Linked DNA regions of Danio rerio. Each later gene encodes a partner of the first gene's protein in a complex. Links are inferred from orthologs where the notes say so. Each region holds a gene or a part of one and is shown on either strand. Other genes may lie near its edges.

The links.
Region 2: the proteins of tent5c (region 1) and bccip are in contact, whole or in part, in a cryo-EM structure (PDB 8EQB), measured with the Homo sapiens proteins. The link is inferred for Danio rerio from reciprocal best matches to the Homo sapiens genes TENT5C and BCCIP. Residues at the interface, in NP_060179.2 of Homo sapiens: Asp90, Asp92, Glu102, Gln106, Arg109, Lys135, Glu136, Val139, Gln140, Lys141, Leu142, Val143, Lys144, Val145, Cys146, Thr147, Asn164; in NP_510868.1 of Homo sapiens: Val57, Asn58, Ile59, Glu60, Phe61, Glu62, Ala63, Tyr64, Ser65, Arg136, Gln146, Cys153, Lys155, Ala204, Gly205.

The regions. Positions count from the first base shown.
Region 1 is NC_133184.1:22,394,832-22,399,265, forward strand, and holds the start of tent5c (terminal nucleotidyltransferase 5C), read left to right. Parts: upstream 1-1,391; 5' UTR 1,392-1,515; intron 1,516-2,688; 5' UTR 2,689-2,700; coding exon 2,701-3,876; 3' UTR 3,877-4,434. UniProt on the Homo sapiens protein: Catalyzes the transfer of one adenosine molecule from an ATP to an mRNA poly(A) tail bearing a 3'-OH terminal group and enhances mRNA stability and gene expression.
Region 2 is NC_133187.1:47,448,790-47,453,398, forward strand, and holds the start of bccip (protein BCCIP homolog), read right to left. Parts: upstream 2,995-4,609; 5' UTR 2,933-2,994; coding exon 2,801-2,932; intron 2,682-2,800; coding exon 2,607-2,681; intron 2,520-2,606; coding exon 2,439-2,519; intron 1,270-2,438; coding exon 1,180-1,269; intron 872-1,179; coding exon 684-871; exon of another isoform or gene 435-683; intron 322-434; exon of another isoform or gene 1-321. UniProt on the Homo sapiens protein: During interphase, required for microtubule organizing and anchoring activities. During mitosis, required for the organization and stabilization of the spindle pole.

The DNA.
Region 1 (4,434 bases):
ACAATTTAGCTTACCCAATTTACCTATACTGCATGTCTTTGGACTGTGTGGGAAACGGGAGCACCCAGAGGAAACCCACACCAATATGAAGAGAACATGCAAACTCTGGGGCTCGAACCAGTGACATTCTTGCTGTGAGGCGACAGCACTATCTACTGCGCCACCGCATTGCCAAAGTATTTTTAATAAAGAAAAAAATTCTGAGAACCAAGTGAATGACATTCCTATACAGAACAACTCACAGAAATTAACCATCAGCCCATTTTAGAAATGTATGGGATGAAATACATTTGTTTAACTCTACTTTTGTTTTTATTTTAGAGACAGATAATGCACGTTTCTGGTAGAATGTCCTGTACATTCTAGTTACGTATAAAGTATGTCTTCAGAAACATAACTATATATAAAGGAAGTCTAATAACAGTATACAATCAAAGTGCATATAGTTGCCAGGGGTAAAAATAAACAAAGAGATTTAATAATAATAATAAAAACATTTAATTAACGTAATTAAATTTGTATAACTGATTTCATTACCTTTTTTCAGGTCACGTGTGATGTCACTTTTTTTTAAAAACGAAAAAAATGTTACATAAGTAACAGGGAATACATAAAACATTAATTTGTGCTTATATTGAGTGACCTGAAAACAATTTAAACATATTCATTGTATATCTAGTAACAAATGATACAAGGGCTAAGGGAAAAAAAAAAATATATATATATATATATATATATATATAATTTATTTATTTTTTTTTCTCAGTTGTTTTAGCAGCTTTCTTATTTTGCGATGGGCAGACAGATTCATAATAAAGTTTCAAGTCAAGACAAAATGTTCTAAAATTAGGCAAACACTGAATAACTGCGTTTGTGAAGATGGAATAAGCCACAAAGAGTACATTTTAACCTATTGTCCATTTCCTTACAATCTGACTCCCAAATCCAAAACAATAAATTTATTGTCTTAAAATCAAAAAGTTTTTGTAAGCTGAGAAGACAAGCCAAGATATTTCTGTCTGATATCATTACCTATCTGGACGTCAGATGGTCGACATGTGCCTGTGGTCGCCTGGCAACATAAAAGCCTATTCAGCCAATCACAAGCTTCTCCTGGCGCATTGATACCAGCAAATAGTATAGTATGTTTTTAAATTTCTCATGGAGCTTTAGTTCATAAATGTCTTCTATCACGGCGCTTGACGTTGGAGTTCAGGTAAGTGCAATGCAGAGAGATTAGTTAAGATTTAATGATTCAAATAAAACAAAAATGCTGTGTGTGATCCACGTGTATATGACAAGGCTTGGGGGGAAATAGTGCGCGGTGGAGTTGCGGATGGTCAGGTTATTTTGTAGGCAGTTATAAGAGAGAGCGCGTGTGTGTCTTCAGAAGTGAAGCTCTGGCGTTTGATGACTGAACAGATGGATGGAGGTGCTGCTGCTAAAACTTATTTGACATCCACTACTTTGTGCCAACCACGTTGCTGAGCACTTCAGGTGGATTTCCCGAGAACAGTAGGTTGCATTTATTTCAAGAGTTTTTCTCGATTTAAGCGAGTTGAGTCTATGTGGTTTGGATGCAGTCGCGAGGTTAACTTTAAAGTTTGTTTTTCCGATTAAATCCATTAACGTTAGAATTTTTGGTGTGTTTGTCCCGAACGCTGACTGAGACTCTTTCGACCCCTCACGTGCACTTTTTCAAACGCTGCTCTTTCTCTTCTTCGCCATGCTGCGATGGTTCGGTTGTTCATTGAGGTTAAGTTAATTTAATATTCACACATTCGGACTTTCTCCTTAATAATGCAATTTCAGAAAAGTACTGCTAATCATACATTTTAAAAATCATATTAGCAGCAAATAAACAATATAGGGAGCTGTCAGCGAACGAACGAGCGAATGTTAAATAACTTTACCTCAATCGTTTGTTCGACTAAAATTAGATCGATTTATTGTATTTAAAATATAGAGCGACTGTTTTTAATTACTTCCAATGAATGTACTTGTGTTGCAAGTATGTATGCTGAGGTGTCTTGTGTCTTAAAGTCTTGTTGTTTTTATCCAAATTTGGAACGCGTCCAAAATGATACTTTTTTGTATGATTATGTAAAACAATTGCGAATAAATTAACTTTCTAACACATTCCTGAAATGATAGAGAATTTCTCAATGGGAACTAAAAGCGGACCGTTTAGTATCAAACTTTTCCTTTAATATTATTTGATTTGTATAGTTGACAGCCTCATTTTTTAAAAATTGTTGTGAATGTTTTTACACTTTTTGTTGTTGTTGTTTAGTTATAAAACTTAATTTAATGTGAATTTACATTTTTCTTTTGTGCATTTCTTTTATCTCTGTGCTTTTCTATTTTGGGCTTGTTTTACTTGATAAACTAATTGAGCAGCAGCTGAGTGTTACCCCGTAAATGCTTCAGTTGATGTTTGGAGTTTGTTTGGCCTTCTGGAAAGCCTGAGAATCAGTGTTAGCTTTTCTGTTATACGAGAGCAGGGAACCTGTTGGACAGTGTGTCTATATGTGTTCCTTATGTACCATGTGTTTAATTTTAATTTCAGGCTCGTTATTCAAGTTAAATATTAAAATGCAAATCTTTTCAAAGATTTAGTTTTTTTTCCCCTTTTATTTAAAAAAAAAATGGACTCAGTGAAATTTTTGCCCTTGTATTTTATCTCAGGAAACTGCATAGATGGCAAACATGGCCTCAGCCTCAACCTCATCCAGCAATGAAAGTGAGTCACAAAGTGTGCTTACCTGGGAGCAAGTGAGCCGCTTGAACGATGTGCTGACAGAGGCCGTGCCGGTTCATGGACGTGGCAACTTTCCCACCCTCGAGGTCCGGCTGAAGGATATTGTACAGATAGTGAGAAATCGGCTGGAGCTGAGAGGCATTATGGTCAAAGATGTGCGTCTGAACGGCTCTACAGCCAGCCACGTGCTGGTTCAGGACATTGGTTGGAGCTACAAAGACCTGGACGTCATCTTCAGGGTAGACCTTCCTCGGGAAGAGGAGTTCCAGCTCATCAAAGATGTGGTTCTGAGCACTTTGTTGGACTTTCTACCAGAGGGGGTGAATAAGGAGAAGATCACCCCGATGACACTGAAAGAGGCCTATGTCCAGAAGCTGGTCAAAGTTTACACTGATCAGGACCGCTGGTCCCTCATCTCACTGTCCAACAACAATGGCCGCAATGTAGAACTAAAGTTTGTGGACTCAATCCGGAGACAGTTTGAGTTCAGTGTGGACTCCTTCCAGATTATTTTGGACTCTGTTCTGTCCTACTATGACTTGTCAGAAAATCCCATGTCTCAGCATTTCCACCCTACGGTGGTAGGGGAGAGCATGTATGGTGACTTTGTTGAGGCTCTGGGCCACCTCACGAATAAGACCATTGCCACCAAACGCCCAGAGGAAATCCGTGGTGGTGGTTTACTCAAATACTGCAACCTCCTGGTGAGAGAATTCAAGCCTACAGATCCAGATGAATTTAAGGCTCTGGAACGCTACATGTGCTCCCGTTTCTTCATTGACTTTCCCGACATTGTTGAACAACAGCGCAAACTGGAGGCTTATCTTCAAAGCCACTTTATTGGTGAGGAGAGGAACAAGTACAACTACCTCATGATCCTGCGGCGGGTGGTGAACGAGAGCACTGTGTGTCTCATGGGACACGAGAGACGGCAGACGCTGAACCTCATCTCACTGACTGCGTTCAGGGTGCTCGCTGAGCAGAACGCTATACCTGATGTGTCCAGCGTCACCTGCTACTACCAGCCGGCTCCGTATGTCAAAGACCTGAACTTCAACAACTACTATGTGGCCTCTTGTAACCAGTCCATTCCAACTTGGTTGCCGTGTAACTAAGACACAAAGGATGCTTATTTGAAGACTAAATCCATCAGTTGGTCAGAACGCCAGATAATTGGCCATAAGGGAAGTTTCCCTCTGTAGACATAAAGGATGTTTAAAATATCAAAGTTTTTTTTTCTTTTTTTCTTTTCTTTTTAATTCCTTCTCTGCAGAGGTGCCAAGACATTTCTAATTCAAAGTGATATATTTTAGGGATTTGAATTAATTTTTTTCCCTTTTTTTACTTTAATAAGAAGTTTCAGATTTGTTTGTTGCTCTCATCTGTCCCTTATCTGAGAGATTTATTTTCCATATTGAAGAGAAACAATTCCCATAGTGCCTTATTAGATTCTAACCCCAAAAGTAAAGCGTATTGGGACAAATTTATATATTTCCTGTGTGTTACAAAATATAAATGCCAAAAAAATATAATAATGTTCTTAGAAATTTGGAGAAAAAAAATACAAAAAAAAAATTAGAAAGAAAAAGATGAAAAATGTGAGCACAGGTGAAATTGGTATTCTAGGACTCGAGTTATCAGGAGCTTTTATTTGTTTTTTTGGTACACTGGTG
Region 2 (4,609 bases), on another chromosome or scaffold:
TATTTGATACTTGTCTCCTATTTAAGTGCATTGTTTTTTGTTTTTTTTTATGACGGTATAACACCCTATTCACACGGGGCTTCAGGGTCAACGCTTGGCTGAAGGCGTTTGTGAAGCTGGGGCTAAAGCGATCGTCATAGCAGCGTCAGCCAATGAAATTCAGTCAGCAATAGGTCAATGTTTTGCTGGTGTATTTGATTACAGCGATATGATTGGCTGACGCTTTCGTCGGCGCTTGAAAAGTTGAGCTAGTCCCAACTTCTGCAGCGAGCAGCACCTCGGAAGTGGCGCCGACAGATCCACAATGCAATTCGGCAACGCCTGACGTCACCCATTCAAAGTGATTAGGAAGCATTGACACTGACGCTCCGTGTGAATGGGGCGTAAAGGTATTGAAACTGACACCGTTGCGATTTTTAGATCCTGTGGTATACCATATTACGTAGTGTATGAGGGTGACAGGCCGGCCGGAATGTGTAAAAAAAAAAAAAAAAGTCGTTATCATATGGACTTGTTCCAAAGAGCCGACCCCGCAACCATACGGGACTAAGGCCAAAGAAGAAGATATACATATATATATACACTTTTGAAATCATAAAATATATCAAACTAAAATGAAATCTGCACTGATATGTGGTAATAGTGAAGCAGGTGTGTGCGCTCCCTCTATTGGGAACTCTTACTGCAGTTGTTTGTGCAGGGGCAGAGCGATCTGCGGCGGGACGTTGACGAATCTCTCGCTCAGCAGGAGCCCTACAGACTGAGTGTTACCCTGCAGGAGATTCTCCATCCGCTCCTGCACATCCGGAGTGCTGCACTTCACACACTGATCCAGTATCATGTCCTTCAGCTTCTCCAGACACTCCACACCCTGATAAACAAACAATAATAATCACACTTTAAGCCAAATGTCAAATTTTCCAAGATACTCACCAATTAAAAAACTGAATTTGCATGACCTTTTATATTCCACATGCTTTAATATGTTCAAATAACTTAATATTAACTTTGTTTTAGCTTGAATATCATTTTGCATGACTTTAACAGCCACTACACTGTGAAATGCGAAATACTCATGCAAAATATGATATTCTAAAAACTCCAGTGGGATTGTTGTAACTCAGATCAATCCTACAGAAAGTAGAGTGTGTGTGTGTGTGTGTGTTATGATTGTCTGACCTGTCTCTCGGTGAGGTTCACCATACTGATGAAGCCAAACACCTCGTCCGGGTCGCCCTCATCATCACTGTCCTCCGGTACTTCAGCTTGCTGGAGCAAAACACACACATAAACTATAATACAGCAATATCAGAGCAGAACTACAGATGTTCATTATTACTGTTAGTGAATATTATACAAATGAGTTTTAAATATATTAAACATTTACAGTAGAGCTGCACGGTATATTGCTCAACATCAATATTCAGTGTTGCCAGATTGGGCGGTTTTGAAAACTGCTATTTAGAAATAATTTATTAGTTTAGAATATGTGAAATGATTCTGTAGGGAAGTGAATTATCCATAAAAATGTCAAAAAATAAATTAAAAGTAAAAATAAAAGTGAAATAAACTGTTTTAGGGATTTCAGGGAGTGTTCAGGTTCATAATTTCAATAATCAAATGTTACAAATGCTAAATTTTCTTTGCCTGAATACTTTGAACACTGTCAGGCCCAGGGGCGGACTGGCCATCTGGCAATTCTGGCAAATGCCAGAAGGGCTGGACCAATTTTTAAATGTGGGTCGTTCAGTTTTTATTTAAATGTATTGTTTTTACGTGGAGGCAGCTTTTATCTCTTGCTAGATGTGATATTATGATGATGATGTTAATAATTATAATAATAATAAATGTTAAGCATTTGGACCAATTATGACGGCCGCCTGATTTCAAGATGGGCTGACCCAATCCGAGGTTACCCGGACGCAATCAAAATATGGCAAGAATGTCATTATTTCACCATCTGTACATCAAAATAAATAGTGAATGTGCGTGTCCGTGGGTGGGGCTATGCTGGTGTGGTAATGTGGGCTGATGTGGCTACAGTGCCAGGGCTGAATTTTTGTCCCAGTCCGCCCCTGGTCAGGCCTTAAAAACAGATGCAAATAGTAAACCTTTACTACATTATAGTGAACATGCTTGTTAAAAAATGTATGTAGTGAATATACAAAGTACATATTTTCTCTAGTAAGATGTATTATTTGTGTTTATATAAATATGTTTGATCATTTTAATCCCTTTTTCCCCATTTACAACTTCTGTTTGTTCCATTACTATTTTATTTTTCCGTTATTTACATTATTGTACCTACTTCTTTTCTTTTTGGCTCTTAATTTAAAAAGTACGCTACATGGACATAAAATAAATCTAAACTGAATGAAATACACAGTTATGACCAGTAAAATTTAAGCTATTTTGGGGGGTAAATGAAAGTGTATTACCCTGATGACACTGCCGATGTGGTTCTGCTGGATGATGATGTCAGTGAGGTCAGAAGTGTTCACGTGACACTTCAGAAACAGCTGCAAAACAACAACACACATTTATGTCTGCATTCATAAATTAACACTCATATAATCACCACATAATCTGCAATAAACCGACGTTACCTGTTGAAGAAGGGTTTTGATGCCGTGAAAGTCGTTGTCAGAGATCGTGTGTGCTTCGAAGTCCACAATAACCTCCTAAATGCAGACCAAAACACGTGTGTTGGTCATAAAACAACGTGTTTTTCAGACAGAGCCAGCATGGCCTGCACATCACGACATTTCTGCTCGCAAAAACAGTTCGGATAGGAACTTACCTCGTTTACTTCTTCTTCTGAATTTTCGCTGTCGTCGTCGCCAGAGTCTTCCAGACCCTCGTCCGAGCTTTCGTCGCTGTCTTGTGGATTTTGTCCAGTTTCAACAGCACGCCTTTTGGCAGATGAAGCCATGCTGCTTCACTAGTGTACAGGAAACAGACACGAGCTCGCGCACGGCGACGTTTTGTGTCGTCTACATGCTAGGAAACTGAGGAGTCTAATCGGACATTTTGGCTCATTGTAGACACAAAGTCGCGGGCGCAAACACGCCATACTCAAGATCCAAAATGGCGTCTTTTCCAGCTCACGATCTTAAGAAGCAGAAGATACCATATTTTTTTACAGAGGGGTGCTGCATGAAAATGATTTATTACTTTTGAATAAACAATTGTATTGATTTAAGTGCCAGATAGTAATTTTGGTTAATAAAGAAAGATAAATATTGTCGTGATGTTGGAGTTACTTCAGAAATGAATTATATATTACGTAATTTTCAAAACAAACGTCGATGGTACCTGTTAGAACAAACCTTCGATGAAATAAATAAGTTTCTCTCTTACTTAAGTTTTTGTCTTACAAGTCAAGATAATATATTCCACTAGTAACTTTAATGCGTCTACCTATTAGTCTATTCGTTATCGGCCTATCTGTCCATTCATTCATTCATTCATTCATTCATTCATTCATTCATTCATTCATTCATTCATTCATTCATTCATTCGTTCGTTCGTTCGTTCGTTCGTTCGTTCGTTCGTTCATTCATTCATTCATTCATTCATTCATTCATCCATTTCTTGCCTGGTGAAAGGGGTGGTTCTTTTTTTCTTTTTTTTGCAGTTATACGCCTCAGTTTCTATTTAACTATAAGATTTAAATACTGCATTTTAGTGATTTTTTTTTTGTTGTTGTTGCTGGATTAGCTAGTCAGATGTCATCATAACCACACTTTTTGATGTACAAAAAATATTTCATAAAAACTTGCTATAAAGAAAAAATAAAACAAGACTAATTATTAAAATACAAATTTATTACATCATATATCATTAGAAAAAAATAGCAATCTGTTAAAGTTTTAAAGTAAAAAAAAACTGCAGCCTACTGTCATTTATTAGACAAAAACAAACTGGCCAGCACATTTAACTTTTCTGTCACAATTTGGCCATTTCAATAAAAAAAAATTAAACATAATAATAATAAAAATAATAATAATAATAATAAAAATAATAATACAATAATAATGAATTCTTTCCCAGAGATGGGTTGCGGCTGGAAGGGCATCCGCTGTGTAAAACCTTGCTGGATAAGTTGGCGGTTCACTCCGCTGTGGCGATCCCGGATTAATAAAGGGACTAAGCCGACAAGAAAATGAATGAATGAATGAATAATATACTTTTTACCAGTTTATATTTGGCAACATTTTAGTTTAGGTCACAATTCACAGTATTAAAAAACACTGAAACTAACACTACTAGCTTAATAAACCAACTAGCTGTTTATTAATAGTAAGTAAGGTACAAATTGGGTTCATGTTAGGTTAGGATTAGGGATGTCCCCCGGCTACGGGCATGATGTAGTGGGGTAGTAAGTAACATGCTGTTAGGTTATGTGACCGCTAGATGGCGTTCTTGGATAATAAGAAGCTTAGCACCACTAGGAGTTTAGCAGAGTCTTTAGTCAGAGTAGTGTGTTGTTGTCCTAGCCGGGCTCACTTTCTGTTCTGATGTCCCGCATCTGTCTTTAATTATATTCATCTGTCTCCATATTCTACTGCATCCCAGAATAATACACAGCACCAAAAATGTAAAAATA